Linked DNA regions of Cricetulus griseus. The protein of the gene in region 1 interacts with the protein of each later gene in a biochemical or structural test. Links are inferred from orthologs where the notes say so. Each region holds a gene or a part of one and is shown on either strand. Other genes may lie near its edges. The genes, in order: Plau and Serpina5.

Region 1 (3,816 bases):
CTTTTTTTTTTTGTAAGATTTACTTTTAATCATGTATGTCTATGAGTGCTGGTACTTACAAGCTGTCGTCAGCCACCTGAAGTGGGTGCAGGGAACCAAACTCCAGTTCTCTGCAAGAACAGCAAGCACATGTACTCTTAACTGCTAGCCATGTCTTTGGTACCCACACTTCTGTTTTGTTTGAATCAGTTTTTTCTTTTCTTTCTTGGTGGATTTTTTTTTTTTTGACAATGTCTTGCTAGGTAGCCTCACTGACCTTGAAATCACCATACAGTTCAGGCTGGCCCTGAGCCTAACATCAGTCTCTATTTAGCTTTCAGGAGCACTCAGTAAAGGCATGGACATCCATGCCTGACATGGATCGGCAGTTTTCTCTCATCCAAGCATTCTTGTCCCAAAGAGTTCAAGGATGTCCCCAATGATACTAAGATGCAGTCATCTCATTATTTCCTTCTTTTCTTGTGTCCCCACTTTCTTCTCATACAAGAATCACAGAGAAACCAGAATCTTCAGAAAAATCACATTTTATTGATCACCTTTATTCAGAATTATAAAAATAGATATAAATAAAAATAGCAGAACATAATTATTAAATATTAAGTATATTGGAATGATCCTTACCCCACCCAGTGAGGATTGGATGAACCAGGCTAATAAGTAAAAAAGATAACTGGCCAAGAAGTGGACATCTATATAAAAAGTGAAACAGACATTTAGTGCTCGTCATGGGTCATGCCTAAGAATGATACATTCACATGGCGCATCACATGGAAGACTGAGAGGCCCCAGCATCACAGTCCAGAGTTTAGGGAAATACCTAGACTTGCAGTTAGACACAGGAATATACCAGTTTTTGCTCAGGTTTACATTCACAGACAGTCTATAATATTTCCCAATCTATTTGTGGAATTCGAGAGCCGTTCCTCCAAGCCACCAGAGTCTCTACTCTTCAAACCGCCGTTCTCATATTGGACAAGCCCCCTCAAAATGCTTCAGCTGTTACACTTCCTAATTGGGAAATCATTTCTTTCCCAACAGCAGATCTCATGAATGACCCGTTAGGGGAACCAACTCTCCTCCTACACTTGCTCAGGAGACGTTTTTATAGCTTCAGATGCTTTAGTCCAGAAAAAGACAACTCCTGGTCAATATCCTGAGCCAGGACCAACTTTCCATCCTGGTCAGGGGGTCTGGGTGGCCAGCACCCAAGCCTGTGTCTGAGGGTAAAGCTACTGGCACTTACCCTGCTGGGCAGCACAAGCAAACAGTGCAGAGCCTGCCCTTCTCAACTTCTTCCCTACATTTGATAGAGAGGACCCTGCTGCAGAGGTGAAGGGCAGCATGGAAGTGAGTCAGTGGTGCATCTGTTTCTTTACTCAACCACCTGGAGGTCATCAGAAGGCTAGGCCATTTTCTTCTCCAATGTGGGCTTGAATCCAGCTCAGGAAGTATGAGACCCTCGTGTAGACACCTGGCTTGTTTTTCATTGAACATCCCCGGCCCCAGCTCACAATCCCGCTCAGAGTTGGGCGGCCATTGATGTCACAGACCAGAGGTCCTCCAGAGTCTCCCTGGGAAGTCAAAGATAAAAATAGGTGAACTCTGGGAGAAATAAGGACAGGGCCACCACCCTTCGGCCACATCTGAGGAGACCTTGGCAACTCCCTGTTTTCTACCTAATCAGGTATAAAAACTTCTACTTAGCTTCTGTCTGCTGCTGTTCAACCCTCTTCCCAGAGCCATACAGTGTGCCCAGTTTCAGTTTTGGTGCTTTCAGCTGAAGTATGCTTCTCTTCTCCTCCCAGCATTTTATTTACGACATCATATTCTCTTTAAGGCTTCTCCCCCCTTTCCTAATACCTGATCTTTTGTAATTCACAAGAACAGATCCCAAATAATGAATTGGACCATCATATTGATCTCACTTGTTCTTAGCCAAAGGCCCAGAAGTGATGTGAATAGTATCTATGTTTTGTTGTTGTTTGTTTCTGTTTTGGAGACTGGGGCAGAGTCTCATGATCCTATGCATTCCAAGCTGGCTTTGGACTCACTATATAGCTGAAGAAGCAACTTGTGAACTTCTGATTCTGATCTAATATTACAGGTGTGGATCATTACACACAGTCCTGGGGACTGGATCAGAGCTTCATTCATGCTGTGAAAGCACTCCACCAACTAAGCTATGTCCTCAGACTGTTGGTTTTTCTTATGGTCTCCATTCCCTGGGTGGAGGGTTGAACTCAGGACTTTGAGAATACTAAGCAAACTCTGTACCACTGAACTAGGCACCCATCCAGTTTTTGCTGTTGCCTTGTTTTGGTTTGGGTTTTTGTTTTATTTTATTTTATTTTATTTTATTTGAGAAAGGGTCTTGCTCTGTAGCACAGACCTTGAATTCTCTTGGGCTGGCCTTGAACTCATGATCCTTCTGTCTCAGCTTCCAAAGTGGTAGGAATGGTGAGGTTATAAATGTGTTCCATTATGTCTAGCTTTTTTTGTTTTTTGGGGTTTTTTTGCTTGTTTTTAATGCTCTCAGTCCTTTTAGTCTAAATGTGTAGCACAGGCTCATGCCAAATGTTTGAAGCTGTAAGTATTGGCATAAGCTCCCAAAGATCTAAGTCCTTGGTTCTTAGGATGTTGGCTAGAAAGAAACTCCCCAGAGCTGTCAGATCAACTCCAAGAGCTGGGGGGAGTTTGGGAGTGATAAAAGGGATGATTGGGAGTCTTACCTGGCAAGCATCTGTTTCCCACTGTGGGTCAGCAGCACACAGCATTTTATAAGTGATTTCAGAGCCATAGTAGTGGGGCTGCATACACTGTTCATGGGGAATAAGCTTCACAACAGCCATTTTCAGGTTCTTTGGGTGCATATAGTCAGCTAGATAGAGGAAATAAGTGTTTTCGTTAAAATGTGTCTATAGATGAGACTCTCTGCAAGAGTGAAGATAAAAACATATCGCGCCTGTGGAAATCCCTTATTCCTTTTTTAAAAGTTCCAATCTGAGCCTTTACTCCACCAATAATGAATGGTTCATCCATTGACTTGGTTGCCCATTGCTTCCCACTGTATCCCTGGACCTATTTGTCACCTCTATAGTGTTCCAATCTCTGTCTCCTCACTGTTCCTTTGATAGTCTGCTACATTTGCTTCTGGACCATAACTCTCCCCCAGCTTCAGCTTCAACTGTCACTTACCGACATTCTCGTATCCAAAGCCAGTGATCTCACAATCTGAACCAAAATGGACATCGCCAAGCCTTGGAGGCAGGCAGATGGTCTGTATGGACCTGGATGGCTGTGCACAATGGCCTGTGCTGGTACGTATCTTCAGCAAGGCTGGTGAAGGAAAAGGTCAAAGGGAAAAAGACTATCACTTACCAGGTCAGGTGGTGACCTGGTAATGCTACAGCACTGATGTATACTTCATGACACTAGAGTCATAGAGTATCCAAGAGCATCTGCTGGTATCTTGTCAACCAGAAGCCTCCCCTACCACATTCTCCTAATGCTTTATTTCAGCTGATGACAGATGTTCAGGCAGCCAGAGTTACCATATACATCTGAACAGATTGTTTCCTGCCAAGGGAGCTAAGCTGAAAGCCAGCCAAGGCTTTGCTCTATAAACCCTATATTCGGGTACAGACAGATGTATCCACCTAACCCTGCACAAATAGGGCATTCCCAGCCTAAGCCATATGCCAACAGGGTTCTTCCCACTCAGAAGCAGCTACCTGTTGGGGATACTCCAGGTCTCTACAGAGCAGTATTACACCCCTCTGTTACTCATGCATTTGCTCTGAACTCTTCCCCACGAAT
Region 2 (4,475 bases), on another chromosome or scaffold:
TGACCATGGCAAATCTTATAAAGGAAAATATTGGGTGGCTTACAATTTCAGAGGTTCAGTTCCATTATCATCATGACAGGACATGGCAGCACGCAGACAGACGTGGTGATGGAGAAGGACCGGAAAGTTCTACATCTTAATCCACAGGCAACAGGAAGTGAACTGTGACACTTGACATAGCTTGATCATAGGAGACCTCAAAGCCCACCCCACAGTGACACACTTCCTCCAACAAGGCCACACCTACTCCAGAAAGACCACACCCACTCCAACAAGGCCACACCTACTCCAGAAAGACCACACCTACCCCAACAAGACCACACCTCTTAATAGTGCCACTCCCTTTGGGGGCCATTTTCTTTCAAACCACCCTAAGGGCCTTAAGAATTTTGCTATCCCATGTTTTACTACCGATGTTTTCACTTCTTCCTTCAGGTGATCTATCTGACCTGACTTTTTAAAAAATTATCGATGTATTATGGCCATACTTACTCTTTTCCTCATATTCAGGTGTCCCTGTTCAGTCACTACTTGACCTGGACCAGCAGATGATTCTTTGGTGGCAGGGTCCTGAGAGAGCAGACCAGGAGATCAGAAGATAAAGAGAAGATAAAGTTTGGGATCAGGAGGTCTTTTTGTCTATGCCCTATGTTAAGCAAGCCTCTTATAAAGTGCGGTATCTTACATACTATTTCCAGGGAAGAAATGGGACAGAGCCAGCAGAAACTGTCCTATGATGGGACTAAGTCAGGGGGAAGCTAATCAAACAATGTCGCACAAAGGAACAGAGTATCTCCAGATCATTATAGACTGAGCACACTGCAACCTTGGGACTGATAAGGCCAGTCTCTTCAGGGGAAAAAGCCAAGTCCCTGGAACAGAAATGTCAACTCTTTTAAGGCCCCAGCCTCAGGCTCAGACTGGCATTGCCAAGTCTACTCCTGAAGCAGAACTGGGTCCCTTTTGTCTTTTATCAGGACCTCTGAGAAACTCTTAGATCAGCCCAGCTCTCAATAGGGCGGAGTTGGGATGGGGTGGGGACAGAGCCTCTGTGATCAGTGACAATTTCAGGCTGCAATTTAGTCTATCCTCTGTCCTCTTCTAAGCCAGGTGGACTGCCATTGGGACACTCAAACACATTACAGAGTGAGTACACCTGCTGTTATGGGACGTGCTGGGCTTGAGGACGTGGGTGGATGGAACACAGACCCTAGGCATCCCTGTCCAAGCTACAGCCTAGGACTCCTATGAATGAGGCTCAATACAAAATCCTAAACTTACTTAAAACATTATGAGAAAAAAAAATGGTGACGTTTTGTAACTTCACTGCATGCTGGTCGGCAAGTCTGTCTTAAGCAATTGCCTGCTTCATCTGACCTTTCGACAGCACTGAGTACCACCGCTTCTCTTTGCAGTCCCAAGGCCTTAGCCTCTTCCTCATCCCTCGGAAGATAAGTGGAGACTTTCTTTGAGGATGTCAGCCCCCTCATTGTCTCTCTCACTTTGCCCCCTCCCCCGCTTTTCCCTCTCTGAGAACATTTTCCTATTCTCCCATTCAGAACTGCTGCCACCATGAGGCTCTTCCCCATTCTGTGCTTGCTGCTCCTCAGCCTCGGGGTGGCCTCTCGCCAGCGCCACCGCTCCCGCTCCTGGGAGAAGAAGGTGAAGGAGTCCTCTGGGTTAACTCACAGAATCGAAGACTTTGCCTTCGACCTCTACAGGGCCTTGGCTTCTGAAGCCCCTGGTCAGAATGTCGTCTTCTCCCCCCTGAGCGTGTCCATGAGCTTGGGCATGCTCTCTCTGGGGACTAGCTCCAACACTAAGACACAGATCCTGGAGAGCCTGGGACTCAGCCTCCAGCAAGGCCAAGAGGATAAGTTCCATAAGGGCTTCCAACAGCTGCTCCAGAGGTTCAGCCAGCTTAGAGATGGCCTCCAGTTGAGCCTGGGCAGTGCCCTTTTTGCAGACCCAGCAGTACATATTCGGGACAGCTTCCTGAGTGCCATGAAAACGCTGTACATGGCAGACACTCTCTCTACCAACTTTGGGAACCCTGAAATGGCTAAGAAGCAGATCAATGACTATGTGGCCAAGCGGACCAGGGGCAAGATTGTAGACTTGATCAAGGATTTGGACAATACCAACATCATGGTGTTGATAAATTACATCTTCTTCAGAGGTAAGTCTTTGGCTCAAACTTGAACTTCCTCACATTTCTGTTTTTATTGCAAGACAGCATTCCTCCCTCACAAAAGAACAACTCATCCAGGTGCCAGCTGGATGGAAGGAAAGCAGCTACATGTAAGACAGAACCTCCTTAAAAGACTGTCAAAGATTCACCAGGCAGCACCTGGCCCTCATCAGGGCTATCATGGCAAAACAGTACTGATACCAAACCCACTAGATCTGGGAATATGAACCTGGTTGGGGTCAAAAGGGCAGAGGACAGGCACCAAGGGCTTCTGAAGGCAAGTGTCTTAGCTACTTTTCTATTGCTGTGATGAGACACTATGACCAAGGTAGTTTCTAAAAGAAAGCACTTAATTGGGGCTTGCTTACAGTTTCAGGGGTGTGTCTATGACCATTATGACACGGAGCACAGTAACAGGCAGGCAGGTATGATGCTAGGTCAGTAATTGGGAGCTTTACATGTCATCCACAAGCACTCAGCAGAAAGAGAGAAAGCCTGGGCTGGTGTGGGCTTCTGAAACTTCAAAGCCCACCCTCAATGTCATACTTCCCTCAATAAGGTTATACCTCCTAATCCTTTCCCAAAGAATTCCCTCAATAAGGCTACACCTCCTAATCCTTCCCCAAACAGAGGCCCAAGCATTCAAACATACGAGCCTGTGGGGGACATTCTCCTTCAACTCACATGTCAAGATTTTAGGAAAACAGGCATGTAAAAGGTCCAGGGTGCCCAGAGTCAAGAGGGGATTTGGCCTTCAAGGCCAAGAGGTGTGACTGCTCCTACTGCTGAGGTGGCTCTGTAAACACTTTCTGGACTATATCCACTCTTCAGGCACAGCCAAGGGTCTCTCATTCTTACTCAGTACTTCCACTCCTACCCCATGTTCACTTTAGCCAAGTGGGAGACAGCCTTCAGTGCCAAAAACACCCAACAGAAAGATTTCCACGTGACCCCCAAGAAGACCATACAGGTGCCCATGATGAACCGTGAAGATGAGTACTACCACATCGTGGACCAAAGTATTTCCTGCACAGTGGTGAGGATCCCTTACCAAGGCAACGCCACAGCTCTGTTCATTCTCCCCAGTGAAGGCAGGATGCAGCAGGTGGAGAACGGCCTGAACAGTAGAGTACTGAAGAACTGGCTGAACTCAGGCACCAAGAGGTATTTTCTAAGTCATTCTGGGGGCTCTACCTATGCTTGGGGTTACACATGATCCAGGACCACACGGTGATGGTGGGAAAGACTCCTCAGACAGTGAGCTACCTCAAAGCCTAAAGACTTCCTGTGATGTCCTCAGTCCAGGACCTGGTTTAGCTTGAGAGATAAGACCTGGAAGAGTGGGGTTCTGGGGTGACACCAGAGTGGGCAGCCCAAGTCTAAGTACAAATCAGGGGACACTCCAGCAGAGACGAAGGTTCCATAAGGTCTGTGAAGCCACAGAAAGAGGTGTTAAGGATGTCTCAGCATCTCATGGTGTCTAAGAATGGCTTTTACTCTCTCCAGTCAGTTGAACCTTTACCTCCCCAAGTTCTCCATTGAGGGTACCTACCAACTGGAGAAAATCCTCCCCAAGCTGGGCATCAGGGACGCCTTCACCTCCCATGCTGACCTGTCTGGCATTACTAACCACCCCAATATCAAGTTGTCTGAGGTGAGTCGAGATGCTCCCGAGCACCTGCTTTCAGAAATTAGAAGCCTTAGCATCCTATTCCATGCCACCCCACCCCACCCCACCCCATCCCACCCCACCTCCTATCCCACCCCACCCCACCCCACCCCATTCCATCTAATTAGGTCCTGTATTGATCTGTCCCATTCTATCTCTTCTGATCCTGTTCATTCTTTTCTATCCCATTATGATTCCTTTCCCTTAGAGATTCACAGACTTTCCTTTGTATCTTGTTCTTCTTACAATGGGAACCCATATTTGCCACCTGACCTTGGAGGAATCTGTGCCTGTCTGAGTGCTGTCTTCTCTCTCTCTCTCTCTCTCTCTCTCTCTCTCTCTCTCTCCTCTCTCTCTCTCTCTCTCTCTGTGTGTGTGTGTGTGTGTGTGTGTGTGTGAATTTAGCTCTGTCTTTATTGAACAGCACATAAAGTGTCACATGGAGAAGAAAGAATGGTACACTTTGCAGAAACCTTCAACAGAGTTTTATAAGGGATTAAGTCACTAACTCCAACTGCCTCAGACATCAAACATCATTGTTTATAAACTGATATCCACAAGTGAATCCACTTTTAGAAGATTACTTTCAACGTCTGTGTCTCTGTGTATGCTGTT

Evidence for each region.
Region 2: the proteins of Plau (region 1) and Serpina5 form a complex in vitro, tested with the Homo sapiens proteins (2 studies listed by BioGRID). The link is inferred for Cricetulus griseus from reciprocal best matches to the Homo sapiens genes PLAU and SERPINA5.

What each region holds. Positions count from the first base shown.
Region 1 is NW_023276807.1:200,133,663-200,137,478, forward strand, and holds the end of Plau (urokinase-type plasminogen activator), read right to left. Parts: intron 3,337-3,816; coding exon 3,196-3,336; intron 2,879-3,195; coding exon 2,730-2,878; intron 1,572-2,729; coding exon 1,395-1,571; 3' UTR 509-1,394; downstream 1-508. UniProt on the Homo sapiens protein: Specifically cleaves the zymogen plasminogen to form the active enzyme plasmin.
Region 2 is NC_048598.1:190,729,435-190,733,909, reverse strand, and holds the start of Serpina5 (plasma serine protease inhibitor), read left to right. Parts: upstream 1-1,569; 5' UTR 1,570-1,572; coding exon 1,573-2,179; intron 2,180-3,084; coding exon 3,085-3,355; intron 3,356-3,697; coding exon 3,698-3,845; intron 3,846-4,475. UniProt on the Homo sapiens protein: Heparin-dependent serine protease inhibitor acting in body fluids and secretions. Inactivates serine proteases by binding irreversibly to their serine activation site. Involved in the regulation of intravascular and extravascular proteolytic activities.